2 linked regions of the Drosophila melanogaster genome follow. The protein of the gene in region 2 interacts with the protein of the main gene of each other region in a pairwise test. Each region holds a gene or a part of one and is shown on either strand. Other genes may lie near its edges.

Region 1 (16,889 bases), 9.1 Mb from region 2:
CAATCAACCAAGGATGCATGTCGGCGAACACGGCCCAAATGCCGCGAATATCTGAAGAGCTGAGGTAAAAAAGTGAAAGCAGTTAAAGAACAGGTGCTATTTACGTTCTGTAGGAGTGTCAACTCACCCCTTTTCAGCGGGTGTCGATAGCATGTGACAATGAGCTCTGGTTTTACAGTGCCGTAGGAAGCTGGTAATCGCCATTGTGCAGTTGCAGAGCGTACATCGGCATTGCTGTGGATTGGTGTCCGGAATCAGTGCACACCACTTGCCAGGGTCGTCGCCTGAGTCCACATCGCCGTTCATCATAACCACAGGGGTGTCCTGAGCATCCTCCGGCCCAACTTCTGGTTCAGATTCCTTCTCTCGCTCGGCCTCATCCCCGCCGCTATTGGTCACGCTGTTGCTCTTGCTCCTCTTTCGCTTCCGACTCCGCTTATCGGAATCTAGGTTGCGCAGTGCCTCCATGTGACCTTTGGTGGTTTCGTGGCGCTTGCGCAAATAGACAAACTCCACGTTCATTCGCACGCTGCAGATGCGACATGTCCCGATGGTCCCTGTGGGCATGGAACGTTCAAGCCAAGGATGCCAACGGAGCCAACGCAGCCAGTTGAAGTTGTTAAATGCCTCGGTCTCGGAGATTCGTTTTTGCTTCATGGCGGCCACATAGCTCTTGGTGCCGAATTCGTGCTTGATTTCGTTGTCGCTGATTCTACGGATAATTGGGAGTTAATAAGTGTTCGCAAACTTTCGGTGATCTCAATATGATTTCGGTATTTCGTTTTTTAAAGGTGCAAATCTTACTAACATTACGAGTAGAGCTACCCTCATTGAAAGCAGGGAGTGTAATATATGTAAAATCTATTCTGAACCGCGACCAAGCCTATCATACACCAGTTTCTTTGTGTCAAACAATTGCTACACGTTGGAAAATTAATGCGGACTCGGAGCAGTGCTCCCTTCATTAAGTTGGCAGTTTTTTTCACACTACAGTGGGCTTTCTGGATTTCGGTACAAACCCTTTACAAAGTGAAAGGCATTTGAAGAGTTGAGCTTTTACTTTATACGGCGGATTAATTAACTTGATTTCTCCGAATTTTAGATTTCTGTACTCTTTTTTGTAATCTTTAAAACTGTGACACTTACGCTCCTCGAGTTTCCTCCTCACTTTTCTTGAATGCCAGATAGTTGCACTCGCGTTCCTGGTGGGAGAGCGACACGTTGTGCTGTTGGATGTGTCTAGAGCGGTTGTTCACGTTAATGGATATGTTGCAGTAAAGGCAGAACGCTAAGGTGCCATCGGAGTCCTCGTGTAGGATCCAGGGCCAACGCTTCATCCAGAGGAGCCAGCGCTGTGCGCGGGGCATCTTGCGGCGCATGCCTCCGTCAACGCCACCGCCATTGCTGCTTTCGTCATCCTCGTCGTCGTCATCCTGGCTGTCTCCCGGATCATGGATTTCAATCCTCTCCAGCAGGCCCATGGGATCGTGGTACGAATGGGAGCTCTCCGCATCGCTGGAGGGTTCAGTTTTAGTGGACATGGCATCGGGTTCACGTTCCTGGTCTTCCAGGAGGGGATCCTCGCTGGCCTGTTTGTCGTCTGGGTTATTTAGAGCGGACTGTAGCTCGGCCACCAATGGAGCATGTTCGTCATCCATGATGTCCTCAATACACGGGTCATCCCGCATCGGGTGCTTGTCCTCCTCCACCACCATGGCCACATCCCCATCGTCATCATCCACCACGATGACCATGGAGGTCTCCACTTCCTCGATGTGATCCGGATCCACCAGAGCACCACCCTCTACGTCCATAATTTTCAGCTCGTGCGTTGCCGACGCTAAAGTTTCTGAATTTGCAGACGCCATTTTGAGGTCTGGGTTGCATTGAGCATCTAGGTTTTTCGCCTGCATGCTCGAATCCCGATCCATCACGAGATACTGGTTATCCAGGCACTTTGCTCTAATATTTGTTAGCTTTTGGGAGATCACAGTATACGGTTATAAACTAAAAAAATAAAAATAATCGCAAGCGAAAACTCAGAATCGCTGTCAAGGCGATGGCCAATGTGACCGTACTGTTGCATTAAACCGGCGGGCTAAGGACCATATACTAAGGAAGTTCAAAAAATACATAAAATGCAACTGAGGGACTGGACTGGTCACTTTATTGAGAACGGTCTTAAAACGTACTGTTCATAGTATAACTGCAATTATTTATTTAATAACTACATGAACATTATGCTTAGAAAGCATATAAAGAAATTACATGCATTAGCATATGATTCATATATCGTTGAATATTTAAAATAAAGTGTGTAGAAACAAACAACCGGTGTGGGTGACAACTCTTACAGCATGTGCAAAACGGGTTATGCGGTATTTCTATGCATGTGCGCACGGTCATACCTCACTGGATTTTGTTTATATTTTGGAAAAGACTACCCAAATGTCAAACCTCCAGTTAACTCAGGAAAAACTGTGAGTATACCAAAGTAAGAGACCAGGGTCTTATGTTCACTGACTATATTCGCCGCCCAGAGATGCCCTACGCTCCGAATACAGGCCACGCCGGCCGTGCGCCCTGCTGAAATATCCTCGACCCAAGACAAAGCCGGAGTACCAGGCGATATATCCGTGGTTGCTCCCGGATGAGACGGATCCGCACTTCGTGTTCTGCGCGGTGTGCGAGTGCAGGCTCAGCTGCAAGAGATCTGATCTGGGAAAGCACGAGGGTAGCATTAAGCACTCGGAAAATGCACAAAGAAAATCATTGCCAGCCAAGGCAAACAATTCGAGCTTCAATGGATCCAGCTCCGGTGCGATGAAGTGGGAGGATACCGAGGACGAGGAGGGTCTACTACAATACGGAACAGATCCCCAAGACGACGAGACAGAAGATGAGGAGGAGGGAGAACTTGACGAAACAGAGGGCGACTGCGAGGACGATGAGAAGCGGACTCAAGAACTGGAAGCACAAAATGATCTCGAAACGGAGCCCGTCATTAAGCAGCAGCGCCGCACTTCGGAGACCGACTCACAGAATTCTGGCATGCTGGATTATCTGCCACTACACGTGACCATCAACGAGGGGCCTCAAAGTCTTCCGACCACTGTCTCCGCCTATCCCACATCCTCAGCAACAGCAACAGTAGCTCCGCCATGCAGGATCACCATTAAAAAAGTTCCAGTGCACAGTACTCCACTCAGTGGGATGTGCCAAGCTCAGGAGATCAATTCCAAGGCCACCATAACGCCTATACACACGACGCCCTCCTATGCTGCCCGCCCGCTGCAATCTTATCAACTGCAACCATTGTCACCTATAACGCCACCGCGCGACTCATTGGAGCTGTTCTTCGACAGCATATGTGCCACCGTCAAGAACTTGCCGCCCAAACTGGCCACCGAGGGTAAGATCCGGGTAATGCAGCTCATTGGGGAGCTCGAGTTGCGTGCTCTTTGCGAACAGGAGGCGCTCTCTGAGGTCGCCGGACTTCCGGATCTCGCGGGAAACTCCAGGTCTGGAGCAGCTGAAGCCTCAGGCAGTGGTCAGCAGAATGCGACAGTGGCTTCTACCACCAAATAAATTCACCTGGACTTTGGAATCGGTTCCAAACCGTGCTCAATACGGCAATTAGAATATATGCTAGTGCTTTCATTTTTTAATTTTGTTAACTGATTTTCATTAATAAAGTTATTTATTAGTTGTTGTAGTGTGGCGTGCATTTATTCTTTAAATCTATCTGATGGTGTTTTTGTTCTATGAAATGGCTTCATTACATTTCATCCGTTTAGAAATTTAAGTGCCCAATAAATGGGCTCATTAAGGTATTAGGTTCGCTTTAATATTTCACTAACTGCATTTCAAAAAGTGTTTTCCTGACCTTGGTTTGCCAGCAAAGTATAAATTGTGAATTTTCTCAGAGAATGATATCACGGAAGAGCTGTAATCAATGGAAACCACTTCTTGTGTGTGGGTAACAATTGTGATTTACTTATTGTGAATGATACAAAGCGAATTCTCTGAAGGGTAAATATTACGCATGTACAATACCATGTGATAAAAAGTTTATCGCATGATAGTTTAATGTATGTTCTGTAGGTAAAGATAGTAAAAATCACTCCATCAGGCGAATTTATCAACTGTAACGAACAAACAACATGTAATATCAGATTGAATCAATCAGAATCAATCAATTGAAAAAATGCCAGTAATTATAAATATAAGTTAATAAATCTTTATTTGTAAAATTGTAAAAAATGATTGAAAACAAGAGTTATCAGTAAGGCACTTAGTTAATTGATATTGGGGAAATATCCCCCTTAAAAAGCTTGCTTGCCCTCTAACATGGCTTTCCCGCAGTAGAACGGGAACTGGACTCCCTGGAGCAGAATGTCCGATATGCCCTGCGAAAGTAAGAAAACAAATCGGTTAGCAATGTTTTTCCAGGCAATGGGTGTGGGTGGGTCTACATATCGGGGCCAGCTATCGCGGTTTCCCATAAGCTCCGGTTGTGGGTCTGATAAGTTCCCCAAATGACTAATGGGTTAAACATCTTGACGGCGCGATAAGGAAAGTGCCTCATGCAACCAGCAGGTGAAGCAGGTAAATTGACTCACCCCGCCATATAACTTCAAATGCTGCTCCCCAAAATAGAAAAAAAACCCACTTACCGTCAGGGCGGGAATGCAGGAGGCAAATGCGTAGACCCAGATGTAGAAAAAGGCGCAGAAGAATGCCACGAAGAAGGAGACGAACCAGAAGACCAGCAGCCAGAAGACGAACCACAGTGGATTTGGCATCGTGATGAGTGGTGTTGTTTGTTCAGAGCGATTTCAGCTGTGCGATAAGATAAATACAAGGGATCTTATTAGTGGAAAGATCCATAAAAAACTGAAGCTTATCAGTCGTCTTCTTAATAGAGCATATCTCATTAAAAACTTCAAGACTTGGAGCTTGCTCGAGCATAAAACTAATTTCTGCATTTCGTATATTTTTAATAAGCAAAACACATGTCATTAATTTGATATGCGCCTTAAAAAAGTGACCTCATAATATTTTTAATGAGCTAACAAATTAAATCTTGCATTTCGATAGAACACGATTCTGATAAACCCCACCTAATTAAAAGAGCTTCTAAAACGTCACTTCTATTTCTAAATCATTTTTTCCATCGCTGTATCAACGTTCCCATTTAAGATAGTGAATGTCAAGTTATTCGAGCAAGTAAATCCTTCAGTAAACCCCATTTGTGTTTGCATACCACACTCATTTATAAATAGTTTTTAGTCATATGCAATTTCAAATTATATATTATATAAGTAGACCTTGAGTTAGGCCTTTGAAGATTACTGAAGTTTGAATTTTAGTTAATATCTTCCTTCACTATAAAATGATTAAATATTCGGCTTTCTCCTAAAAATACTTTTTCACTTTTTAGAAAATATTATTAAAATATGCATACACTCAGGTTTTACCACCGAAAAATGCATTTGAATGGCTTTCTTCTGCATTTAGATTTCACTTTTGGGTCGTGACAAACATACTAACGACCGATTTGGCTCGGTTTTGAGACTGATTTTAGAAACACTGACGTCAAAACTGATTGTGACCAAAATAAGGCAAAAATAAGGCAGAGTATGAGGTCGAGGCCTCGACCGCCGATTTCGAGCCGAATTCCACGATCAAGTGGTGATTATAGTACTCTCAAAACAAGTGTCGTCATTATGCAAATCACAATGCTAGCGAGCACTGCACTTGACGGGGTGTGTCGTCTTAAGTCATCGCCCATCTTAAGTCATCATAAAAACAATTGCAGATCGCCCACAAACCGGTTGGCGAAATTAGCACACGGTGAAATTCGGATTAATTAGACCAGCCGAATCTGAAGTATGCGCCAATTAATAGGCGTACGCCAACTATGCGTAAGTATTTTATAAATACTGTATACCACGCACCCACGTATTTAAGATCGAAAACAACTTAATAGCCGAATGCCAGGCAGCCAAAGGAAACAATAACAAACCAAGTAGACGATCGGATCGGAGGTCGACGTCCGGGGGATTCGAGAATGGAATGAAGACTGAGAAGCGCAAACCGGCGCAACAAGTTGCATGCCCACTGCAGGCAGGGTTGTCACCCGTCGCACTGCCGACGCGCACTTTCGAAGGAAAGCTTCGCGAAAAAGCTTTTGGCAGCGAGGGCCGATCTGAGAGTTAAGCAAAGTATTTATTGGGTTACTAAGGTTAGTTAAAAGAGAACTCAATCTTTTTAAACCAAATACATAGATAGTCTTTGTGTAAGTAGTATTTGTGTAGACAGTATTTGTGTAGATATTATTTGTGTGAAAAAAATAAACATTTTTTCGAAACAACAGTCAATAACAGTGAACACAAAAGGTACGGAAAATATTAATACAATTTTATTAAACTAATTTTATTACATTTGTCGTTATCATTCGTTTATACTATGCTTCCATCGAAACAATGTTTAATGAAATTTCTTCTCCCAATTCTTAAATTACAATACTAGCAAGAAAGCAAAGAAAAAACATTTAAAGTTCGTACACATTGTGAATGCCCTTATCAGCGGAACTTATCAGTCAAATGTTTGGCCATTCCGTTTATGCCTTTTGGCGCTTATCTTAGCCACTGCCGCATTCGGTTTCCCGGCCAGCAATCAATCGACGCTAAGAATAAAAACTTGGCCAACCTCAGCTTCGTTTTGGGAAAGCTCTTCGTGCCGCAAGAAGCTTTATGCGGCTGCTTGTCAATGTTTTCATATCAAATTTCCTATAATATATCACCCCCCCATTTCACCGTCCATATGATGGTGTGTGTGTAGCCAAAAAGTTGTTCATCCCGGACGCCGACGCCGCATTTTGCAGCTGTTGTTGTGGTCGGCTGCTGTTTTCTCCGATTCTCCGCATTCTGCTGCGAGTCGTCGGTCACGCTGGTTCCGATTTTCATCCGGTTGAGCTCAACAACAAACTGTAAAATAAATATATACATATACAAAAAATTAAAAAAAAAAAATAATTCAAATATGTTTACAAATCGAAAATATTCCAGACTTTTATCGGCCTAAAAGGAGTTTTAAATCATTGTCCAATTGTGGTGCATACTTTGCGGCGCAAATCAGCTGCCTTTTTATGAGAGTGTGTGTGTGTGTTTGAGAGAGCAAGAGAGCGAGAGCTGACTTTGTATGTGTGTTAAAAGTGTGCGATCGATTTTCGGTTGCCCCACGAAAACAAACAGAATCAAAAATATAAAAAAAAAACTAACAAAAATGTTTAAGACTTTTTAAAAGCTCATTAAGAACTACCAACAATTAAACAAAAATATTTGCTTAACTGGAGGGTCTCTCAAATAAACAAACAACGCGGACCCTTGAGATAATGAAATTTGGTATGGCTCGCTAGAGCAACAACAAATGCGGCAAAATGTCGCAGAAAAAAGTTTCCGATTTTGATTGCGAACAAAAACAAGCTAAAGCTTCAGGCCAAAAATAAAGAGAGAGAGAGAGATGGTATAACAGTCGCTCAAAAGCTGTCGAGAGAGAGGGAGAGAAAAGAGAGAGTGAAAGCATAGTCCCGCTATTTTGCCGAGAGAAATAAAGAGCAGAAAAGCAATGTCCGTTTAAAGTACGCATTGCGATGCCTTTTAGCTTCAGTTTAGCTAGAGACATCGTCGTGTTTTGAACGGCTGACACAGTTTCGGAGTTCAGCGGATCGAGCGGACTACGCCACACTAGTATTCAGTTCAGTGCGCAAAAAAGGCCAAAAGGAAAACCAGAAAAACTTTTAAAATAGGCAGGATAAAAGAAGGCAGACCGTACATCTTTAAAGGGAAACACCATACCCTTTCTGTCCTCAAGCCAGCTCTTTCAAACAAACACACACATACACATACCTGTCATGCATATGGCATAACACGGCCAGAAAAGGAAATTCATTAGTCAGATTCTGTGTGTGATAAAGTGAAGTTTTGGTGCTAAAATCTAGTATTCAACGCAAGCAGCCCTGCACTTTATTTACAGCTTGGAAAATTGGCAAATCAGAGAGTCGGAGAGGTTTTAAACATCAAACATAAACAGAGTCATGTAGTGAGCGACCGAGGACAACAGTTTCAGCGCACAAAGAGGTAAGTTATCTGTTGAAAAAATCAAATTTTTAAATGATAATTGCCTTGCAGAATAATAGCTTTGAATATTTATTACTTAGGTCTATGTCTTTTTCATTTTCATTTTGACTAAATAATATTAAAAGAATATTTTCCTATTTAGAGGATTAGATTCTCCTCCCACGAGAATGTTTATTAATTAAAAATGATGTTTTGGTATTGTCCTAACAAGTGGTATTTAACAATATAATTCAAGTAATAACAATAATGCTGGGGAAAACAAATCAAAATGGAACATCCCCTTAGTGATATTGTTTTGGTTATGGAATTTCTTCTTCGATTTTAGCATTTAACGATTTTTGATGAGCTCAGTGATCCGTGAGGTCCTCAGCTCACACAAATACACGCAAAAAGGGAGAGTGGTAAAGGGAGAACGACAGGATACCCCGGGAAATATACGAGAGAGTCTTACAAATTCATAATTTGTCTGTTTACATACAAGGACCTGGTCCCTGTATTGGTGGTTTATCGAGTGGCGCTGCCTCAATGTCCACCCGCTTGTCCCACCTCCCAACCAATGCCCTCCGTCCTTAATTTCCCTGAACGAAAGCGAAATTATTTTTTTATTTTGGTTTTTTTTTTTTTATTTGTGGGGCACGTAGGCTCCATAACTTCCGCTCGGTCGGCTCACGCGCACACCTGTACCCACTCTCATACACAAACTTATACACACTTTTTGGCAACTCACATCGAGGGCGAGCACATTTAAAATTCTGATGAAAAGACACTTTTACTTTATTCTTTCACTCGCCGGCACACAGGAAAAATTCATGTGATTGTCATTTCCTTGCCGTCTCCAAAAGTGGTCCATGTCACTTTTATGAGCTCATCTCATAGAGTAAAACGGTACATTGTATTCAAAAAAATCATGCTTTCAGACTCCATTAGGTATGCAAAATCGGAAATACATAAAATGCCAATACTTTTAATTTTGAAAATGTAAGAATAGTAACTTCACTCAGTATTTAGTTCAATTCGCACACGTTCTGAATTCTGAATGCTGAGCAGAATTAAGCCTGCCGTTTTTTTCAGTGCATTGGGCATCGCACTTTTTCACATCTTTTGAGTATTGTGTGCCCGAGTGCGTGAGTGCGCTTAATTCGTGTGTGTGTGTAAATATTTTGCTTGATAAACGCTCGACACACACACACTCTCGTCTGTCCTCCGAGTCGCCCACATGTCGCGTAATTCAACTGTCGATTTATCACACTTAACCCGAACACACACTTTACGGTTAGTGTAGTATACTATCATCTACTATCCACCATAATCCGCACATTTCATGCAGCATCATCATCCCATGATCATCACGTCATCATCAACCGGCGGCTTATTAGTTTCAAACGCTGATTAGTTGTCCAGTTTCGTGCGATTGCGTGCTGGGCTCAGATACAGATTCAGATTCACTCCTATTCCGTATTTTGTTTTTGTTTATCATTTTATATAAATTTGCTTAGGCTGGGGGACTATTCACGTACCAGCGCCAAAGATACATCTGTATCTATGCACGAGTATCCATGGGAGCATACAAATGCGAACAACTAGTTTGCTGGGCTTTGGGTGTCTGATATGGTTAGGGTTTCTTTTTTATGGGTCTGTGAACTGCATTCTTGATTGAGATTTATGTTGCATATATGCGCTTTTATTACACAATTATTTTATATTTTGTTACACAGGATTTTTTCTCCAACCACCCGAATGTTAGTTCGCTTTGATTGTAAATTTAATACAAAACATTTTTTCATTCAGTATATTCGCCAGTTTTATTCTTGGTTTTTAATTTATTTTCGTTTCTCGTACAATAAATATCTGGTTTATCTGTTTTTGCAAATCACAGAACCATTTTCGTTAGCTTAATTTACTTTTTAACGAAATTTCAATTTAGCTATGTGACTTTAAAAATAGTTTACAGAGAATGCGCTTTTAACACGGAAAATTGGCAAATACGGGAAAAAGTGTTTAAATACATTGACACGATAAAAAATTTTTTTAATTCCTTAAGGCCATCTTATTTTATCAAATGGCTGCCACACACATAAAAACCATACAAATAAAAACCATACAAACCAAATACAAATGTGTGATATTATTTTTAATAACGAGAGTTATTATGGAACTGGTAAATAAATTTGTTTCTTGATATAAAAAATTCCGGGCAAACGTTGCACTTTCCATTTTGCAATCAGGCATTGCTTAACAATTCAAAAACGCATTTAATGGTCATTAATTCAATTTGTCATTTGTTTGCCTCCAGGAATTAAATATAATATAATAGGATGCCGCTGCTGCGGACTTCCGTTTATCAGTGCTTCATCCATTATCCAACCGAATCCATCAATTCGACGCACAATGCACTCCATTAAGCCGGCCTGCAATTGCCACATCGCTTTGGTGGCGGGGGAAAGTGCAATTTCCCAGTGCCTCGTACATAAAATCAGCTATGCGATGTTAAGTTAATTGAATCAGTTGCAAAAATATGATTAAATCACAAAGGAAACCGACGGGCGTGGGAACTCCGACTCCCGTTCTTTGTGTCGAATTCGAGTTCAGAGGGACTTTGGCATACATAAAGGTCGAGCTCAAAAAACCAAACACACAGAAAGCAAACAAACAAAAAGCGAAGGCGCAATGCTTAAAGCGTAAAACACTTGAGAATTGCTTTACACTTTTCCGTTTTGGGCTTGGATTTTCCGCACGCCGTGCAATTTATGTTTTGTGTATTATTCCACACACACATATACATTTGGCGCGCCGTCAAATAATTCGCTGAACGCTGAAAGCTGAATGCGAAATGGCAGGCAGGATTTTCTTTTATTTTTTTTTGGCAACCAAGGGATTCGTGTTTTGAGTTTCCCTGCAGTCCGTGGGGAGTGCAACGCTTTTCCACTTTGCTCCTTTTTGCATTCCCATTTCACGGAGAATCGACAAACTCATAAAAGTCTTGGATTCGTGTTCCGAGCGGGTAACACGCGAAAATATGCAAATAAAATTCCATAAAACAATGCGAAGGACAAACAAACGAGCATAAAAAGGCAGCCATAAAATTGAAACAAAGGGGACAGTTTTATACCCTCGGCTAATATGAATATTGAATGACGAGCTAAGGGAAGGCCAGAGGAAAATGTTTTTATTATCCGAAGTTTCTTACTCTTAAGAAAGTCCCATTGAGTTTCAAACTCTAGAAATTCTGCATAATTCTCGTTCTAGCTTTTATGAAAATATCACAATACTCTAATAATATCGACTTCTGTTTTTAAGAGTTCTCTAAAGTATTTGGAAACATGACCATCTTACAATGCTATAATATTGTCTTAAAATTATTTAGGTAATATTATAGAAATCATATTATCAGGTCCAAGCATATATTCTAGCTGCCTTCGTATCTCAAAGCTGCCCATATCCTGTCCAACGCATTCGGACTCCATGGATGGGTATGTTTGCACTCGTACGAAGACAAGCACTTGGTAAATGGGTCGTTGCTCGTCCGTTAGAGCAGCATTAAAACGCAATTTTATTGCATATCCTCGGGAGCTTTGGGCCAGCCATCATTGTCTTAAGGGTCCGGCGATGACGATGACGATGGGCGACGACAGACCCGGGCTTCCGAATTGAACCCAAACGAACAGAAGCTCACGCAGCACAAATGGAGGGCAAGGAAAGAGCAAAGTACAGACGGAATACAGACACAAGACCGCAGACAAAAGGCACAAGTTTAGGGGCAACGGGGAATTGTTTAACATTAGTTTTATGCGATCCTTTTATTTGTCTGTGCCTGGGCTACTTTTATGAGTTTTCCTGTGGCCTCTGGCTACGGAATGTCGTGTTTTTCTCTTGGCCATTGCCCGGCGATAATAACGCGATTTGTTTTCTGCTGCAGTGACTGCATGCAGTCCCAATGGATTTTATTGGATTTACTACGCAGAATCGGTTGCAGCAGTATGGTTTAGAATGCAGCGAATGCAATAGGGCTAGAAGCCAAGAGGTAATCATTAGATGTTCTATATTGCAATTCCGTTTCTCAGCCATTATTATTATGAAACACAATTTCAATATTTATTAATATTACACATCTTGAGATATTCAATTTATTGGGTGTATCTTATATGCTTTGAGAAACTTACATAATGCCAATTACTGATCGCTTAAAAAATAGTTGTGTCGTATTTTTATAACCCGTTGGGGAGTTAAATGCGCATCAGTATACGGGAAAATAAGCTTCCACTTTCTGCGCCATTTTTACAGCAGATAATCACTTATAAGCACACACACAGACACCCACATACACGCAGACACACACACACACACGCTTTGAGACCGTGACGTGTACTGGGAATAAGCCGCATGATGTGTGTGTCCGTGTGCGTTAGCCAGCGTGTGTGTGTGTAAGCCCTGCTGCTCTGGGCATTAAAAGTAAACCAGGGTAAAATAAAAGCAAGTGCCAAGTGTGGCGCATGTGCCACTCAAAGGCAAACAAATGCGAAGTTCTGATGTTTCTTGGGGAATACGCGGCGTATGCGCGATTTTAGTGTGATTGTATTCGCCCAGCTTTGCTTGTAAATCGCTCACTGAGGTTTTCGCTGTTGTTATCGCCGGTGATACCAACTTTGGCTTTGCTTTAACATGCACAGATTACCTTTAAATTGCGCTTGCGATTTGAGACAACCTCGCACTGTTGTTAATTTCCAACCATTTTAAATGTCGTAAATAAGTGCGGACGTTTCAAGATTATCAAATAAGCATTACTATGAATTACGAATTATTTGTTATCTAAATACTTTTATAAGGTATACAAATTTTTATATAACTTTTGCCAAACTAATGAGCTTCACATTGTAAAACAAAGCATACGAAATAAATTGAAACGTTAGAGCATAATCAAATCTTAATCATAATTAATGAGATGACTGAATCTTTGATTTTAATATAGATTAATTTATTTTTTTTTTCGATTAACTGCATATGGATATGTTTGCACGTAGCGTGAAATATAATTTATTAATCAACTTAATTGCATGAGCCAGACTAATTGACAAGCGCCGAGTCTACATAAATATTAAATAACTTTGTAATTATTGTAACAAATTACAAATTATTGATGCGAGGTCCAATTAAAATTCAATTTAATTTCCAACGCGTTTTCCGTTTAATTTTTGCATATTGTTATTGTTGCTGTCGTGTGATTGGCGTAATTGTTGCTGTGGCTGCAATTTGGCTGATGCCGCAAATTGAATAACTCAGGCAAGTGCACACGAGCGCACACGCCCAATGTGATATGACCGGTCCCCAGGCCTCAGATCCACTTTCTATGCCCGGACAGGCAACGCTCTGATTATTTGTAATAAGCAGCCCAATTAAAACTCTTACGCTTTTATGAGCATAATTATCGGGGGAGCAACAACGGCAGGGCTTGTTATCAACACAATCATCGCTAGCCCGGCATCAATATTGATTGTTGACGTTGTTTTTGTTGCTCCATTGATGCGTGTTGTTGCCGATGGATGCACCGAGTGCATTATGCAGCTTGAATAGCTCAAATTGAGTCAGAGTTGTGGCAGGGCGCACGGTTCACAGGTCGTATGCGCAACGTGTCCAGGGCATATAAAGGATGCTGATGTTGTTCTTGCGTTTAATTAACCCGCCTGAGGCACATTCTGCTGTTCTGCTGTTCTGCTGGATGGGTCCCTCGGCCTGGATTTTGTGGTCAGGAAATATTCACCATGTATGCAGTCCTTTATGGCCGTGACGTCACTTGCCAGGCTTTCGCATTGTATGCTTGGTTTCGACGGCAATTGGCAGATGGATGGTTGCCCTTTGGCAGTGGCGCCCCAATGGCGAACGCTTTTATTTCTTGCGTCATTTCATATGAAAGCAGCACTCACATTTGACATTTTACAGCATCATCATCGGCATCAGTTGAAAAGGGACGAAGGGATCGAAAAGGACCGGCCGTTAGGACTGGACGTTGAGTATTCATAATCATTCAGTCCATAGAAGCTACTTATACAGCCACAGACCACTGGTCGGATACTTAATATTTAAGCTGATTATTGATATTTGATAATAGTAGCTAAATGGGATCTATATTTTATAAGTTTTATATTTAGTAAGTTTTCTCGTTCTTTTGAGATTATTTATCTTGTTATTGCCATCTTTAAAATTCTATTACCAAATCATATTTCATTTGCTGATTCCACTTCTTTAAGGGTTTTGCATTCTCTCTAGGTTAACGACTCTATATATTTCATAACCAACTGCAAGCTGAAAACACATAAATATGGAGTGAAACTGCCATAAATTCGAGTCGAGACCTGCGGTGCACGTTTTTGGGTCGTGTGCCCCGTACGTGTCCCGGGGACTCCCCAAAACTTGCTCAGGTTACTTAATATACAACTTTTGCCCCAAACACACACACACACAATTGCACACATGTCCTTTCCCGCGCGCGTGTGTGTCTGCGTGAGTGAGTGCTTGTGTGTCGGAGGCAGGAACAGTCAGAAATGGCGGCTTCGCCTGAGTTCAGCTGAGCTGCTGTTGGCTGTTGACTTGCCATTCCCCGATTATTGATTTTTTATTTCGGCTTTAAGTGCAGCACACCCACGGGTAAGCCGAGCAGACCCAAGACATCGACACCAAGGGCAGGGGTCTTGTGTGCTCGAGGACTAGTGCCGTGAGAGCTGGGAGCCCGCCCGAGAGAGATTCGCACATGCCGTGGAGTGCAGGGAGAAAAAACTATCGGCATTAATAAGCAATTAACTATTTTTGTTTACCAAATATCTTTATTTACTTTTGTGGGGCGTTAAGCTTTTTGTTCCCACTTGGAACAATTTTGGGTTAAACATCAAAATATAATAATTAATAATTAATCTTAATCTTAAAAATTTAATTTTCTTAGAAAAATATTCAGATGCACCTCTTCTTATTGTGTTTATATTTACTAAGTTTTTACGGAGGTCCAAAAGTTTGCTATGAATTTCGTCCATGTGTTCTTGAGTATGTAAACGGAATAGGAATACGGCAAGGAGCTGCAGGGGAACTGCTACTGGGATGACGATGGTCACGACGACGTGGCTGCGGTGATATCATCAAGGTCAGTCACACGGTCGCAGGCGGAGGCAAGCGGAGCGCCAACCTGAATAAGTCGCGCTAAATTGAGCGTCTCAGCGTTAACGAGCCCCGGTGACGGGCGAGAGCCACTAAAGCCAAACTCGTGCCCCGGACGTACTGCCGGCGCCACCCAGCCCCCTATCCTCCCACCTCCTGCAGCCCCCAGCTCCCGTTGCCAACTGCTCCATGTCCCATTCCCCTGCCTCTCGGGGGACACTTCAATCGCCGCAGCCGCCACATGCGGCGCCATGCAATAAAAAACTAAGCGCTACTAGCTCTCGGTTTTTTCGTCTCCTGCTGTGCAATTTCCCATTTTAGTGGGTAGTTTTTCCACACACTCTAGCGAGGTATAGAACTTCTGGCACATATCGAAATGAAAATCTTTAATATAGTTCCCATATGCCGAATTTAATAAAGGTGTAGCTTATAGTTTCAGTTACACGTGTGGTATCGTTTCATTTGTGGCTGAATGCTACTTTTGTTTTCAAAAGAAATTTTTTAAAATTATTTGATTTGTGAATTCGAACTTAAAAAATCGTTTCAGATTTAAATATATAAATATTCTTTAAAAGGAAATAATATGATCGCATTAAAATGGAAATTAATTATAATATGTTGTAAAAACTAAAATGACTAGAATTCTTAGAGTCGTTTTGTGTATAGGAAAAATAAGAAGTTCGTTGGTTTTTCGGTTTTCTCCGCCTCCGAGCCACGCCCCAGCATTTATTTTATAGTTTGCCTGGCGCCAGACATTCGCTTAATGGCCGGACTAAAGGCCTCTGATCGGAGTCCTGCCGCCTGGCAAATGAAAAGGTCAAATGGTCAGTGAAAACTTGATGATGATTGCGCCTCATTAAAGCAGATGGCCATATTTTTTGGGGTTTAATGATTGCGCAGCGGTTAATAGACCGGAAGAAAGTGCACATAAATGACTTGGAAAATATTAAGTAAGATTTGTTTAGCGAGATATCCGTACAAATTTTCTAGCTTTAATGGTGTCGCTCAAAACTGTTGTTAAATTTAATTTCCTTTACGCCTGGCTCTCGTGTGACTGAAGTTTGCAGCTAATTTTAAACCATGTCTTAGACAAGAGACACAATTTTGGCCAATTGTCCTTTAGTTATTCAAGCCCATAATACAAACCTGTCCCTCACTCCTTGTCTTCAATATCAGGGGGATCCAATTAAGCTTCGCTGACTGGCGGTCACCTGCCCTCCATTACCCTCTTCAAGTCATCAATTAAAGCAGACACATCTAACCTCGTACACAGAAAACAATTTCTTTGGTGTGTTAGACATTAAAAATCTTAAAAAAATATGTATATTCAAAAAAAAAAAAAAGATTTGTAATGTTAGAAAATTATCTAAGGGCAGACAAATTCGTTACGAAAGTGTAAATTTATTTTTACAAATGTATAGGCTCATTGAGATTATTAAAATAAATTAATAAATAATAATAATAATAAATAAAATAAATTAATAATAAATAAATAAATAAATAAATAATAAATAAATTAATATTTACCAATAAAAAAAATGAAATATTTCTTTTCCGGGAACATATGTAGTTTGATATTCGCACAAATAAAGTGAAACAATATGA
Region 2 (16,812 bases):
ATCAATTTGCCAGGAGTTCCGGTAGATCTTCCCAGCGTAACGGAGAAGGATAAGCAGGATCTTAAATTTGGGGCCGAGCAAAAGGTGGACATGATCTTCGCATCGTTCATACGAGACGCAAATGCTCTGAAGGAAATCCGCCAAGTACTTGGACCGGCTGGAGCGTGTATAAAGATCATCTCTAAGATTGAAAACCACCAAGGTCTGGTAAACATAGACGACATTATCCGTGAATCAGATGGCATAATGGTGGCCCGAGGTGATATGGGCATTGAGATACCCACGGAGGATGTTCCCCTAGCCCAGAAATCGATTGTGGCTAAGTGCAACAAGGTGGGCAAGCCTGTGATCTGTGCCACCCAGATGATGGAGTCGATGACGAACAAGCCGCGACCCACTCGTGCCGAAGCCTCGGATGTGGCCAACGCTATTTTCGATGGCTGCGATGCCGTAATGCTGTCCGGTGAAACGGCCAAGGGCAAGTATCCGGTGGAGTGCGTCCAGTGCATGGCCAGGATCTGTGCCAAAGTAGAAGCAGTTCTATGGTACGAAAGCCTGCAGAACAGCCTTAAAAGGGAAATCCGGACCAGTGCTGCCGACCACATTTCGGCAGTTACCACGGCGATCGCGGAGGCGGCCACGGTGGGCCAAGCCCGGGCAATTGTGGTGGCCAGTCCGTGCTCCATGGTGGCCCAAATGGTCAGTCACATGAGGCCGCCATGTCCAATTGTCATGCTCACGGGTAACGAATCCGAGGCGGCCCAGTCTCTGCTCTTTCGCGGCATCTACCCACTCCTCGTTGAGGAAATGGTTATTGGCAGCTTTAACTTTCGACGCATCATGCAGTCGGGCCTGAAGCTGATGGGCAAGATGGACATCTTGGAGCCGGGTCAGAAAGGATCGGTGGTGCTGGTTAATGCCATGTCGGCAGAAAAGATCACCTTCCGGCTGTTCACTATCCGTCAGCAGACCAAGGAAGAACGCGATCAGGATGAGCGATGCCGAAAATTGGCCCTAGAGCAGAGCTGCAAGGAGAGGGCTGAAAAGGAGGAATGCAGAAAGCTCCAGCAAGCGGAAGAATGTCAGAAGCAAAAACTGGCCAAAAAATGTAAACAGTTCGAAGAGAAGCAAAAGGTCTGCCCCAAAAAGAATGATACTCCGAAGAATGATTGTCCGAAGAAAGATTGTCCGAAGAAAGAATGTCCCAAGCAAGATGACGAAATCTCAAAGTGCAGGCAAATGCAAGAAGCGGAAGCTGAAGAAAGGAAGTGCAAAGAAGAGTTTGAACAGATGTGCAAATTAGCTGAAGAAAAAAGGAAAGAAGCTGAAAAATGCAGGAAAGCGGACGAAGAACGAAGGAAAGAGGAAGCTGAAAAGTGCAGGAAATTGGAAGAAGATAGGAAATGCAAATTGGCTGAAGAGAAGAAAAGGAATGAAGAAGAACTTAAGATAATAGAAGCAGAAGTGGCCAAACTGGAAGCTGCTGAGAAGGCCAAGCGTTTGAAGGAGGAAGAGAAAAAGAAGGAAGAACTAATGAAGTGCAAGCAACGAAATGAAGCGAAAAAAAAGAGGGAAGAGGCTGAAAGGTGCAAGAGAAAGGAAAGAGAAAGGGAGCTAGCTGAAATGGAAAACAAATGGAAACAGGTTGCGGAGAAAAGAAAGAGAAAGAAGGCAGCAGAGATGTGCAGGAAAATAGAGGATGCAAAAGAAAAAGCCGCGGCAGAATCGGCTGATAAGATTCTGAAAGCTGTGTGCGAAAAACTAAAGCAATCTCTCTCGGATCCGGACAAATCAAAAAAGGGCAAGAAATAAAGTGAAAGCTAATGGCAGATTTATATGGAACATTTTAACTTTTAATACGGTGTTACACACCGAATTCCAAATTATTATATAAAACTATTGGAATTTTTTAAATTTTCTAGTAAAACAATGTAAAGAACGCTATTGTCGAGTTATTTGACTATAGGCGCGAACGGAAAATTTTCAAATTTGGGCATATCGATAAATATTGGAAAATACACATTTGCTTATCGGTTCTTTGAAAAGTAATAATTTCATACCTGCTAACCAAATTAAACTATGTCATTATGCACGTTCACACCTCCACTGATAAGATCGAAGTCATTGTAATCATTGGACATCACCTCTAAAAGTCATATTTTATAGAGTCAACTTTTCGAAATTAATCGCCTACAATTGATTTCACCACATGATGAAGATAATGAAATATTCGATATTAATCGTATGCAAGTGATTTCACCACATGATGAGGAATGGCGAAATTCTAATTCTCCCAGCTGCTTGATGTTGACAGTATTTAAACCAAACAAAGGGTTAGTTTAGAGGGTTCTTCATCGCGAGAAAAAGGTACTACCATGTCATTGCCCACGACCAGAGCCACCACGGCCACGACCACTCACGCTGTGGTCCAGGCTGTGGAAACGTATATTCAGAACCAGAATTTGCTTGGCGAGATCGCTGAGCTGGACGACATGCTGTACGATTTGGTGTCCATGCACAAAGACAACGAGCTGGCCCTGAAGCGTGTGCTGCAGTGCATCCACAACCTGTTGCAGACGAACAGCAAGTATAACGTCCGCTTTGGCCCAAAAGTTTTTCACAAACTGGTCTCCGTGGTGATTGCCGACAGTCGTGAGGATTCGGCCAGCCGGCGTCAACTGGTGGCCAATTTACTGGTCTGCGTGCAGCTTCATATACGGAAGTTTCCGCGTATCGAAGCCAAGTTCGTGCTGCAGCAGCTCTGGTCGCTGAGTCAGAGCAATGAGCGGCAACCACATGCGGCCCAGATCCTGGTACACCTTTTCGATGATTTCGTCAACAACTTGGGAACGGAATGCGCCCAGGAACTGCTTGTGCTAACGCGGAATCTTCTACAGTCTGATGTGCGCGATGATCGACGCTCAGCGTATTTTCTTATGCACAAGCTGCAGGAGATCGACGAAGTGCTTGCCGCTCTCCAGTGCAGTGAGGTTCAGTGGAGCGCGTATGTGGGCATCATGGAGAACCTCGAGGAGCAGCAGTCCCATCTTGTGCTGCCCACTTTAAGCACCCTGCTGCCGCGCATGGGCCTGATGTCTAACAATTTGAGTGAGGATTGGCTGGATTGGCTAAGGATTCTGTGCATACGCCTCCTGGGCGACAACAACATCCTCGTGTTGCGCTGGACCCTGAAGTACTTCCTATCCCATTTTAGCCTAGAACAGATATCGCGTTTCAATCTTCTAACACAATTCCTTGCTGCTACCAATCGGACGCAATTGTACAATCCAGAGGTGCCCGATTGCCTCACTAAGCAGCAAATAACTGATTTTAGTGCACAATTCCCGGCAGAGATATTGCTGGAAGCGCTTGTCTGCGTTCCGTGGCATGCAGTTCCCCTGATCCACTGGCTTCAAGCATGGGAGCTAAAGCAGCTGCCGGTGGTTTCCAAGGAGCTGCTGTTTAAGTTGGGCGCTCGCGTTCGTTCCCTCCAAAATCCGGTTTTGCGTGGTGAAGCCATCAATTATGTGATTTTCTCCTTAAGTGTAAGTTTAACTTATATAGAAGTTTTAACAATTTTTTGACTTTAATCCCATTAAAGGCGACGATTGACAGCCTGTCATTGGGAGATTACCTCCTCTTCATGGAGTCTTTGTACAATACCATCGACCGGTATCAATCTCATTCACAACTAGCACAGAAAATAAGAAATTGCAGCAATTTAGAAAAACATATTGCTAGTTTCAACATTCGTTGCTGTGAACTTGTATCTCAAATGGACTATAAACACGATGTATTTGTTGCGTTCTTGGAGAAATTACGAACAGTTCCAAAATCCAAACATGGCTGGTGGCGACTTTTACCCATATTTCTGCATCGGGAACTGGATCATCCAGAACAGTATTTAGATTTCTATCGCTCTGTCTATGATTTAGATACATCTTTTCTTGAAAGTGGTGTGAGTCTAGAGCAGATGCAGCAGCACCTTCTTAATCGATTGGATTGCCAGACCAGAGAAGAGAAGTCCTTTGTGCTCGAGCACTCTGTGGATCTTTTCGTACAGATAAATCTTCCAACGTGGAGCAAGTTAGAAGTACTTAACCTAAATCCCCTGGAACTTTTGGATCGGGGTACTGAAGAAACATTTGCCACCTTGTCGAATATATTGTCCACGCATGATGAACAATTGGCTGACCAAAATGTATTGCCCGCCTTTATATCCCGTTTGGGAAAACTAAAGGTCAGGGAAACGTGAGTAATATATTCGCTATATTTTTGTAAGTCAAGTTATTAATTCATTGATTCCCAGACAAGCCATCCTAAAATATGCAGTGCAAAATCTTTCGTCAGAAGAGTATGAAAAGTGCGTAGTGGACGTTTTGGAGAAAAACACCTTTCTTTTGGGTACAATGGACTGTGAAGAATATATTAAGGCACCCACCTCGTTTGTTATAAAAAGAATGCTGCAGGGAGAAACCACTACTGGCGATGCACGGCAAGAGAATAAATATTTTTTTCGTGAAATTACTATATACAACGTTAATAATAACTCCGCAGCATTGAACGCGCATTTGAGCAAATCTCGGATACTGGAGCCATGGATCGTGTGCAATTTATTCAATATGCGAAGAACAGCACTGGTTTGGATATCAGCTTCATCTGTGACGATTTGCTTAGAATGAACAATGAGCTGTCCAGAAAAAAACCACGCTATTTTGCAAACTGCAAAGAGCACAGAATGAAAATGCGAATAGGCAAAGCTTTGCTCGACCTAAGCGACAGATGGAAGTGGTCGGACAACCTGTGGGAAGCCGTCTTGTGCCCTAGCGATCAGCCTAACATTAGCTTTATGTACGAGTACCTTGTCTCCAAAATGCTGCCAAGCATCGATCTATTGCTGGAGCAGTTAAAGCTACTGGCAACTCTAAAACCGAGCCAGCAAATTTCGCTTGTCTCTGTAGTCCACATATACTGCTTGACTCGCTGGGAAAGCATACAACATGAACAGCTTGTCGAAGTATTTGCCGTCCTGTTGCCTCTCACAATGGGAGCAAATTTTCAGACTCGTTTGCTGGCCCAATTGGTTTTGCATCGGATTTGTAGCGAGTGCGAGGATCGAAGGTAATGAAATTAGTATTATATACTACTTGTTGCCGAATTTTATTAATATTTTGATATTTTTAGCATTCAAATGCCAATAGCTGATGCATTGAAGAAATCCATCAAGGTTACATTGAGCGAAAAATTAACTGAGTTTCAGTGCGAAGCTCGACTTTTGTTACCAGAACTAGGCAAACAATGCCCGACATCCGTTTCGGATTGCATTCTGATGATGACGAATGCACCATTTGATGAAAACATCAGTTTTATTAGTTGTTCCTATGACTTTCGAATGAAACTAAAGCGCGCCCTTGAAACGTTTAAACGGAAACAATCGGTTTTGATACCTGAGCTTGCAACGTCCTTGGCTGCATTAAACGGAAATGTGCAGCGAAAAATGAATCCCGTCGGAGATATATATCCGGAGAGTGACTTTGTTGTTTCGAACAAAGCTAGAGATGACCACGAACTCATTGTGGTGGCCTCGCTCATAGACAAATTGCCAAATCTGGGCGGATTGGCGCGTACCTGTGAAGTTCTGGGCGTTAATACCCTAATATTGGGTTTAAAATCACAGGCGGAGAAAAGCGATTTTACAAACTTGAGGTATGCACGTCAAACATCGCGGTAGCCCTATTATATTGCTTTATATAATTATAATTATATTATTTTAGCATGACTGCTGAGAAAACTTTAAACATACTTGAAGTGAATCCAGAATCGCTTGCTGGATTTCTGCTGGAAAAGCAAATGGAGGGTTATAAAATCGTTGGCGCCGAGCAAACTGCACACAGCACAAACTTTGTTGACTTTAAGTTTCCCAAGAAAAGCATTCTTCTTTTGGGGTTCGTAATCAACATCTTGGGCGTATTTTTTGAAAACTTATTGTTCTGCATCCCTCCTCAGGCATGAAAAACATGGAATACCAGCGAACCTTATTGGATTCTTGGACTACGCCGTCGAAATTCCCCAGTATGGCTTAGTGCGCTCTCTAAATGTACATGTGGCTGGATCACTATTTATTTGGGAATATTGTAAGCAGCACTTAAATTAAATTCATAATTTGACCACCAACAAATGCCTTTAACAAATAAAGTAAATACCTAAAAATATTGTACAAATGTTACTATATAAATGTTTTGTGTTGTATATATCTTAAAAAAAATACACCCAAAATAAATTACCTATATAAACTTAATTGTACTAGCTATTAGTATTATTTCTATTTTTTTAAATGTGTTTGTTTGCCTTCGGTGAATTAATCGAAGTAAATATAATTCATTCTCTTAAAGTTTCGCGCCTTGTTATCGATAACCAGTATTTACCGATGACGCTTGCCTGAAACAGCTGATCCTATAATCACAACATCACAACAAACCCATTGTAAACAACTTCGAAAAGACGAAAATGAGCTTCTCGGAAAACACCTCCGATTCTGAATGGTAAGTCCTTGAGGCCGGAAACTCTCAAATTCTATACGAATGCTTCGCTTATAGGAAGACAGACAAAATGCTAAAGGCGCGGACTGCTAAGAAATCTTTAAAGCTGGACAAGGAGCACAGAACTCTGAAACCTAAATATAACCAGAAGTTCTGCGAAAAGTGGCTCAAGATTTTCGATCCATGGCTCCGACGGGCGGCCGAGGATCCTAACAAGCCATTCTGCCGCGCTTGCCAGTGCACCATGGACTGCAATCGATGCCACCTGGTGCGGCACGAGCGAACCACCAAGCACAAGCGCAATCTGGAGGCTCTGCTCACAAAGGGCGAAGGCGCGGCGGTCCAGGAGTTCCGGATTCGCCAGCAGCGTAGCAAGTACTATCACCAGCGTAAATTGGTAGTGATGGAGCCCTTGGCTGAGAACCACGAGTTGGAGCCGCCTTCCACTCCAGAGCCTATGCCCGTGATGGCCATTGCTGATCAAAGCCTCTGTTCTGCAGCCAGTGAGAAGGTGACAGTACCCAAACAGGAGTTCTTATCAGAGACAGAGGTCACAACAAAGATGACCGAACCCCCGTCAAGCCATGCCAATTGCAGTGACAGCTCCTCTTCTGCCTCTAAGCAGGAGGGCATAAAGTTACTAATGCAGATCCACCAGGACAAAAACGAACTCATGGAATCCTTCCGCGAGCTGATGGGAAGCCAGAGGACCCTAAGTCACACACCGCCGCCCAAGGAGAAGAATCATGTGGATCTGTTTTTCGAAAGCGTCAGTTCCAGCGTGAAAGCCCTCTCGCCAAAGTTGGTAGCGGAAGCCAAGATGCGAGTATCGCAGCTGATCTGTGAGCTCGAGCTTCGCGGCCTCAGTGAAACCAGCCAAACGGACGCACTGAATCCAAACCCTCAAGCTAATGAATCGCTCGCACTGCGCCCATCATGACAATCCCTTGTCCTTCAGCATGAATTTAGAGGCATACATTAATTTTAAATTTAAAAATAAATGTTATCGATTTTTATAAGATCAATGCAAATATACTTTATTTGTTAGATATACGAATCAAACTATTCAAAATAGGTGCGAGAAATGGTATCGGACTGTTTATCGATAGGCTAGAGGCTACTGCTACTGCCATCTCCAAAGCGCGGCTGTGTTTTCTTCCAATGTTTATTAAATTTGAAGCAGCTAATGCAATTTAAAGGCTTAAGTGACAAAATATTCATAACATAAGAATGTGGAACACTTCAAATGTGTATGATGAAACGACCTCTGAAAATGGCGACAACGAAGAGCAGAAAGCTTCATACATTAAAGAAGATCATATAGAGGTATAATTACTAAGTTGCCCTTAAATTTACAAATATTTAAACGAAATTATGCATTTGCAGACCGAGAGGAAAAGTTTGCTACTCATCAAACGGAACAACGTAGCCCTACAGAAAAGACAGCTACCCTACTCAAGGCCAACGCCGCAGAACCGCCAGGAACTTGTCGAGAGCATCGAACAAGACCGTAAAGTGCTGTCGGCGTACTTCAAAAGGTTGAGCTCCCAGCGAGATGAAGTCACTTCACCAAATGCAGCTCCACCGGCGGCTGATTCCCCTGTTCCTCAGAGAAACAGCTACGATCTTTTCTTTGAGAGCGCCTGCATCAGTGTCAAAGGCTTGCCACCCAAACTGGCGGCGGAAGCCAAGAGCCGCATCTCCCAGATAATCACCGAGTTCGAAATCCGCGCCATATCAGAAATGGAGGCCCAGCAGGAGCACAAAATGCGGGCCCAGAACAGAATGGATAATGCGTCCGGGGTTGTTTACGAGTTTCGTCCCTGCTCGTAAAGTAGGTTGGGTGTTTGCCTTTCAACTACCTTAACTCATCCTATACACTTCACATTTGGACGCCACCTAACTCTGGACTATCAAAATTCATAATAAAAATTTAAAGCATTCTACATCCAGTTAACACTTAGGCGGTCATTTGGTCGCGTTTCGGCCCTAAATTATTGTTGTTCGTTAATTTAAAGTTGGATCAATGGCCGGAAAGTTGAAAATATGCATCATTGGGGCTGAGGGCTGGTAAGTTCTTTCAATTACCAAGTCTAAAACACATTTAACTGCTTTCAAATGGCTTTTCTAGGGGCTCGGCCATTGCCGCCGTCGTGAGCAACAATGTCTTGGAGGGAGACTTCGACAGCCGGGTGCATTTATATGTCTACGATGAAATGATTCGGGACACTGCCCTATCGGAGATCATAAACACTCGTCACGAGAATGTCAAGTATCTGCCTGGGATCAAGCTGCCCAATAACCTGGTAAGGAAATTCTTGCAGTGTTTTGGTATCTGCATTATACAAAATATTTTTGTATTAGATCGCTGTAAATGATCTTTTGGAAGCTGCCCAGAACGCAGATATCTTGGTATTTTCCACCCCGCTGGAGTTCGTGCAATCCTACTGCAACATTCTGTCTGGTAATGTTAAGGAGTCGGCCTTTGCTGTTTCCATGACCAAAGGATTGTTGAGCGAGAATGGGGAGGGGATTGAGCTTGTTTCGCACGCCATTAGCGAGAGTCTGGGTATCCCGTGCTACTCTATGATGTCTGCACATAGTGCCATGGAGATGGCACAGGGAAAGCTGTGTGAGGTGACCATCGGTTGCAGCGATAATTCTCATTCCAAGCTGCTGATCTCTGCTATGCAAACCAATAACTGCAGAGTTATTTCTGTTAATGACGTTGACGGAGTAGAGCTGTGTGGAACGCTCACAGACGTCGTTGCCTTGGGAGCGGGTTTCATAGATGGTCTGCGTCTGGGTGAGAATGCACGGTTGGCAGCCATCCACTTGGGTGTCAAGGAAATTATGCGGTTCATTAAGACGTTCTTTCCTTCCTCCAAAATGTCCACATTCTATGAGAGCTGTGGCGTAACCAACGCGGTGGCTTCCAGCTTTGGTATGTACAAAGAAAAATGAATCAATTAATAAGTGTATAATATCAACTGCGCTAATTTAAAGTCGATAAAAACGTCACATTTGCAAAGAGCCTAGTAACATCAGGCCAAACCATTGAAGAAATAGAAGCAAACCTCCATAGTGGCCGCAAGCTTTTGGGTCCCATGGTGGCCAGTAATGTGAATGCATTTTTGGAGAATGGGCTTATGCAACACGAGTACGTATAAACTAGATTTTAAGACCCTAATAAACATACTTCTAAAACTATAGATTTCCGCTTTTCACGGCCATCCATCTTATATGCCAAAGTGAGGCTCCGCCGGAACTGATGATAGAGGCACTGAGAAACCACCCGGATCTAAGGTAAGAGATTTTAATGTTCAAATTACCCTTAACTCATCATTACTCCTTTTACAGCAGTTCATCCATTTCACATTTACTGAACCATGAAAGGGACGAGCTAAAAACGGACCAAGGCCTTCCCGAACTGAGGACTGCTTTAGATAAGATATTGACGGAGGCGGGGAACGAAAACATTAAGCAGCTCAAGGTTATGGACGATTGGACAGAAGTAAACGATTACGACGTCGAGGAGACGTACCATGAAAAAGTGGCATCACGAGATTCCTGTCTTGAGACCGAAATTATGCCAAGCCGTCTGAGCGTGCAAGCTGCACAGCTCTATAATGACATCCGGGATGGGAATGTTGGGGTGGCCTTTAAAATGGACATCGATGAAGGCAATCGCCAAGTGCGGCTCTTGCTAGAGAAGGAAGACGAAATGGCTAGCGATGCAGCCTTGACAGTTATTTCATCAAGATTGACTGCGGGCCAAGAGGATGACAATGCCAGGATAGGCCACGGACACATAACGAACACTTCCGCGGAATCCGATCATATGTCCAGCAAAAGCATTCCCAGTGGCTTGACTACGAAGGATTCGCCTGATGTCCTGGATTTGAGTTGCGAATCTGAGCCACTACATTCGTCAAAACAAAATAGCCAGCTGATGGAAGATGCGGAGACAAATTTCACGGAGCGTTTAAAAGTGAATCAACTTAAAGAGCAGATTGATAAACAAGAAGCGGCCAATTTTAAAGCCCAAGAAAATCTTATAAAATCTATAAGACAAACAATTCAGGCTCTCGGTGATAAAGAAAAAATGGAAAACCTTATCGCAAAAAGCAAAATGGAGGAGGACCCCTTCCAACTGAAAAGCCAAGTTGAGTCTTCGCAACTGAAGAGCCAAGTTGAAGGGGAGTCTTCGGAACTGAAAAACCAAATACAAGAGGAAGCTTATGAACCTATAAGTCAAGCAGATGAGGAACCATCCCAAATTAGAAGCCAACTAGATGAGGAATCTGCTCAGCTAAAAAGTCTAATGGACGAAGAAAATAGACAACTTGAAAGCGAAATGCAAGACGAGAGTAGCCTATTGAAAAGTTCAGCAGATAAATCCGAATTTGTTGCATACAACGCGGAAGAAGAGCAACCCATTGAAGAACCAACAGATAACCATCAGTATAAATTAAGATCAGATACTAATAAGCTTAAAGAACTTATGTTCACCGATTCCAGGGAGCACTTGGAGTCCGAGAAGCACATTGAAGTGAAACTTCAAGACGAACATGACTTTGATCTGGATGAGGAGCCAGCTATAGGAAAAAAAGACCCTACTTACACTAAAGAGAACTTGGAGCTCCAGGAGAGGCTCGAGTGGCAAAAGCTAAAGCAAACAGATAAACCCCACCATCCTTATTCTTCAGCGGATCTTGAAGATTCAACTACCAATGAAGGTAACGCCAGGCTTCCGATAGAGCATGACAATAGATTCCAGAATGTGGATAGGTATCAGGATAGAGAACTTGTTCAAGTAAGAGCTGAGTTGAAAGAGACTAGCGGAGCCGAGAGCGAAAAGGAGATCAACTTGATTAGCGAGCAAAGGCCGGATCAAAACCAAGATGAGGTCAACTTGCGCCCCCATAGCCATATCAAGACGGAAGAAACTGGCCATCACGAGTGGGATTGGCTAATGAACAATGAAAAGATCGATTCCGACGAGCAAAAGTTTTATGCCAACGAGAGGATGGAAACACTTAGCGAATCTGACCAGGATAAGTTGCAGAATCTTAATTATCAACTAAAAGAAGCCTTGCAGCATGATTTGGATGTGATGTCCGCAAGCAGGGGTAATGATTCAAATGAGGTGCTGTCCGAGGAGGACTCTAATCCAGAAGCTGCTAAGAAAATTACGGAGCAACCACTTAACCCCACTCCAAACCAAATCCCCGCAGTCCCCTTGCCAGTAACAATGCCTAGTAAACAATCACATATCCGCGAGGGCAGTCCACAGTTCCAGAATCAACCTAGATCTGTTCCACCACCCTCGCCACAAACAAAACCACAGTCGCCAAAGGAACAGCAGCCTCGCCGCACAAATGCGCCCGTCGAATTTGGAAACAAGGACGAAGCCATGGATCTAAATGAGTCAGCTTCTGATCAAGAGGTACCTAAGCGTAAAAAGATTTCGAAAACTGAGGCCGTGATTGAACCAGTCGCTAAGGATGTCTCCATGGCCGAGCCAAATGAGTCGTTACATTCTAAAAAGGAAACTTCACCAGCTAGTTTGAGTAAGCAGGAAAGCAAAAGGAAGCAAAAAAGGAGCTTAAGGAGACCATCTAGTGATTCTGATAGCACTAAGACAACGAACGAATTCGAGAAGCAACGTCAGATTATAGAAAACCAGAAGGCACAGCTGGAAAAAATGGGTAAGAAGATCAGCGTTATGCGGCAGGGTCAGGATCGTCGGGTTAGCTACAAGGGTCATAACCCCTACAGCGCTGACCCGGATCTGGAGTCTAGGCCACCGATGGACACCAGCTTCGAAAAGGACAGAACGGGGGATTACCAGGGACTGGGCCATCAGCGTCGCAAAGTAGTCGTGGCGCCGCCCTTTCATCCGCCTATCAATCCACGAGTACGCGTGCCGCGACCACCTTTCGATGGACGGGATCATGAGTTCCATACGATGACTACCGCGCCAGTGGACAGACACCTTGCTCCGGCAGCTAAGTGGTCGTCTTTGCCCACGACTCTGAAGCTGAATCGCAACTCCCTGGTTGCCAACATACAGGTCAAGCACTTTGCCGCTCTGCCCTGTCAGGCGTTGCCGAAACCCATATTAAAGTTGCCGATGGGAGTGCCACGCACGCCCACGTTTTCAAAGATCCTCTGCGCCTTGCAGTTGGGATTGCTGGCCTCCTACCTCGCTTGCAGGAAGGACTAAGTCCTAGATTAGTAGCTCGGCTTTTCGATTCCCCCAATAGCAGCATGATCAGCATCAGCATCAGAAGCATGATATAGAATACTTTACTTTTTTAAAAAATAAATGGTGTTAGATTCAATCTAAATAAAGGGTGTTCGAATTCATTTACATAGAGGGTGTTAGATTTAATCTAATGGCTATAGCCATATCAGTTCTTGGAGATGCTCCTGCTGCAGCGGCACTATATGTTGACGGTGAAATATCAGTCGATTCTCCTGCGATTGTAGTGGCCGGAAATTCTTTAGCAACGGCCGACCGCGCTCATCTCGGAGGTTCCAGAATTTGGGCAGATCCTGGTGCGAAATGGGAAGGACCTCACCGAACACGTGCCACTGAACCACCGGTGAGCATGGTGGCGTCGTTAGGGAGCCCTTGTACGTGTAAAAGTTTCCCCTGTCAAGAGATCCCAGCAAGGATCCCAGGGTGAGCCGTTCCTGCACAGTGTAGCTGGCATTAAAGTTGCCCAAATGGAGGAGGGAACTAAAGATTTCACTGAGTCCGGGCTGATAAAAGAATGGCCCCGACTAAAAAGTGAATTGGTAAATCGGTAAGTAGAGCGGTAAAGTTAAGCAAATCCCGCATCTCTACTTACTCGAACAACCTTAAAGAGCACCGCCAGTACTGTAACGCCATCGCTGTACTTAACAGCCTCCTCCAAGTTTAAATACTTTGTGTTCCGATGGACTATGTGCATTTCCAGATCAAAGCGGCGTCCATTGAGCAGGTGCTCCGAGCCCTTGCTCTCGGGGGATCCCCAATGGAAATGCACGGCCTCGGCATCGTAGCAGTCCCGCAAGAGACCTCCTGTTACGTAGGGCTTCACGCCATAGATCGTCGTCGGAACCTTAAATTCCACTATCAACGGAAATGGATTAGTTTTCCCTTTCACTTGGAAGTCCGTCTTATAAAAACCTGTGTGTCCACTATTCCTAATTGTCACCAGCTCATCGAAGAACTCATCATAAAGTGCGAAAATCAGAGGCGGCAAGTTAAGGGGTATCGCCTTGCGTCTGCTAATCGCAATGGGCGACTGTTCTGATCCACCACAATTTGGGTATTTTTCCGGCCACCTCTCCGGGGATTTGTAGTCGAAATCAGTCGATCTGAAATCTGTAACAAAGTTATATAAGTCTTTACAATTCCCACACATTCTTGATTTATCTTGGGCGAGCTTCTCCATATTTGACGAAATACCCAAGAGCATCCACCACCAATGGACGTGGTCACTTTGCAAAACCATTAGGAAGGCCGTTGGAGCAATTTCTGCACTTGCCAATTTCCCAAAACGTCTTCGCAATTTCAGCTATTTCGCAGAGCCTACGGATTATGTCTAAGCGTAGCATAATTGCTTGATTTTGGGTCCGGACCATGGAAACCTCCTTTTGTTTACATTGTTCCGAGCGATGGATCGCACACGCCGCTCTTATAACAATGGATGGTACTTCGACATCTACTCCGCCCCCGAAATTGACGCGCTCATTGGGTTTCATGGGGCATTTGTGGATGCAAATTTAATTATTGTTATTATTTACAGCCACCGGGTTGTTTGCTATCCATTAGATGAACCGCGATGAGACAGCTATATGGGCGTCGAGTGTGACATATGAGGGTTCGGTTCGGTTCGGTTCGGATTGGTTTAGTTCGGTTCAGCCGGAGGGGATGGCTCATAAATTCCCGTACGGGCAAAGGCTACGCAATAGGTGAATAGGTTGGTTCCGGGTCGAAAAATCTCAAGATCTGGGGCACGTTGTCTGGGGACGACGATCAGTCTGCTATCGATGGCGTCTCAATACCAAGGTGATCCACAGTTGTATCGTATTTCGTTGGATGCGACACACCTCACTGGCTTGCATTTCGGTACTCACTTGCGGCGAACGGCAGCAGAAACAGAAGACGCTGATAGAAGTCATCAAGAGCCGGAAGATGCATTTTCCACCTGATCACTCGCTATACACTACTACAGGCTATAGGAGTTGTCTTCGCCAATCTAGTCCAAATACGCTCCACACAGTAACCCCTGACCGAAGACCGAAGATTTCCAAGCGCGCGTAGCTCTGCAGACTGAACCACGATCGGCTTAGGCCAAAACCTTTATACCAAAGGGCCACAGTCTGGGCTTTGGTTTGGCTTCCGTCTCCGTCTCGTGGACTGGGAGAGCCACATTGTCAAACGCTCCACGGAGCAGCAATAGATGGTAATCTCGACTCGAAGTTGTCATACCCGCTACGCGTACTGCTGTCTGAGCACCGTTACCCCGAAATTAAAAACTATAATTGAAAAACTTGGTTCGATGGGGACAAATGCAGATTACACAAATTGAAGTTGAAATTCCTTGGCATAACTTAACCCGTCTATGGTATAATATCTAGGTTCTGCAAGTTCCATTTATAAGGCGTTTTATTTATATAACGGAGAAAGGAAAAGTTTATTCATATATTTAGGTTCCAAATAAAGTACTTCATACTTTAACATTGTTTAATAACTTAATATTGCGTATATAGGTAAGTTTGGACATATTTGAAAGTTTAAAATACCCTGCATCTTTTTTGGTTACAATATTTTAAAATATTTCAAATGTTTTTTTTTTTATTAAAACGCAAGTAAATCGTGTTTGCTTTGATCTCTGCTTATGACATCCTCTTGTAAGTCAGATACGCGGCTCTTTGGTTGGTTCTTGAATTACATGTTAATTTTGTAAGCCTGGCTTAGAAAGGTAAGCAGACTGCAGACTCTTGAGATCCAGTTTCTCAGTTTTCGTCAGTTGCAGCTGCAGAATTGAAAAAGTTTTTATTATCTAAAAGACATACCGCACAATAAAAAAAAATATAGAACATGGCTCGTACATACGTTTATGTTTTACTTATACAATGCGAACTTGAAACAGCTTTCAGGTGAGTTTATTTAATAAATCAGCTAAATTTAAAAACGAATTGTCGAAAGGAGCGTGTCAGACGATTATCTTCATCGAAATGAAGATGAACACTGTAATGGCAAATTTTAAAAAAGAAATTAGCCAAATTTGTTTTTGTTACTTTTGCCATCAAAAGGTTCTTTATGCAAAATGTTATGTTTGACTCAAAAACATGTTACTCACCACCTTTCACTTCAACCAAAGCAACAAGTAATTAAAAGTACTTCGTAGATGCTAAATAAGTTGGGCCCAAAATCGAAATAAGTACTTAATATGCATTTACTTACAATTAGACAACCATGTTGACTGGAATGTAAACACTTCGTTTTAACTCAATTTTATGGCGAAAACACAAAAACAAATACGAAAATTTCAGTAAATGTTACTATTATTGATTTTCCCCAGTCGCGATTCGAAATTGAGCGTAAAACCCAGCGAATCAGCTGTTTGGCGGCAACGACAGCACAACAAAACAATTAAATATCCGCCGCAGCCGCAAAACAATACAAAAAAAAAAACAAAAGCAACAACAAAATAAACGAACAACAACAACAAAAACCAACTGCGCCGCGATAAAATTGTTTGCCAATAAGAATCGGGCTTAGTGCGGATTGGCATCCGAAAGATACAGGAACGTGGTGGCTGCAGCTGCAACGGGAAGACCATGGTTTTCTTCAAGTTCTTGAAGAGCAAACTGTAACGTATATAAAGGCAACCACAACACAAAGTAAACACACGCGAAAATCCTAACGAAATAGAGAGATACAACAAAAAGATACGAAAAAAGATACAACCCACGAGAATAACAATGCGCGAAATTCAGGCGTAAGTATGCGAAGGCGAAGGTGTGGGCGCGCGTTGTTTACGTCTAGGAAGTATCTGGTGTCCCCCGAGTATTCGGCTACCTGGTACTGGTGCCTACATAGGCGGGGAATCTGCAAGAGAATCCGAGAACCAGTGGGATTCGAACTGGGACCGAAAACGCGAAAGCGAACGAGAACGTGGCGAGCAAAACACAAAAACCCAAAACGACGCCGAGCCAGCAAATAGTATCTGTGTGAATGAATGGGCCAGCTTTATTGGGGGTGTGTTCG

Evidence for each region.
Region 1: the proteins of CG34149 (region 2) and Ravus interact in a two-hybrid assay, tested with the Drosophila melanogaster proteins (one large-scale study listed by BioGRID).

What each region holds. Positions count from the first base shown.
Region 1 is NT_033777.3:13,249,558-13,266,446, reverse strand, and holds Ravus (ravus), read left to right. Parts: upstream 1-2,385; 5' UTR 2,386-2,448; coding exon 2,449-2,480; intron 2,481-2,540; coding exon 2,541-3,588; 3' UTR 3,589-3,714; downstream 3,715-16,889. Other genes in the region: Su(var)3-7 (suppressor of variegation 3-7), read right to left, coding at 1-59, 128-712, 1,147-1,931; CG11686 (uncharacterized protein), read right to left, coding at 4,326-4,409, 4,677-4,805.
Region 2 is NT_033777.3:22,373,660-22,390,471, forward strand, and holds CG34149 (uncharacterized protein), read left to right. Parts: upstream 1-6,468; 5' UTR 6,469-6,507; coding exon 6,508-6,542; intron 6,543-6,596; coding exon 6,597-7,479; 3' UTR 7,480-7,594; downstream 7,595-16,812. Other genes in the region: CG7069 (uncharacterized protein), read left to right, coding at 1-1,812; CG18596 (uncharacterized protein), read left to right, coding at 2,376-3,545, 3,602-4,251, 4,310-4,495, 4,558-5,121, 5,185-5,706, 5,775-5,945, 6,007-6,154; CG43342 (uncharacterized protein), read left to right, coding at 7,770-7,865, 7,926-8,372; Gpdh3 (Glycerol-3-phosphate dehydrogenase 3), read left to right, coding at 8,566-8,609, 8,671-8,845, 8,904-9,483, 9,546-9,699, 9,753-9,845, 9,900-12,768; CAH8 (carbonic anhydrase 8), read right to left, coding at 12,945-13,331, 13,400-13,662, 13,720-13,917, 14,673-14,736; CG7059 (uncharacterized protein), read left to right, coding at 16,383-16,414.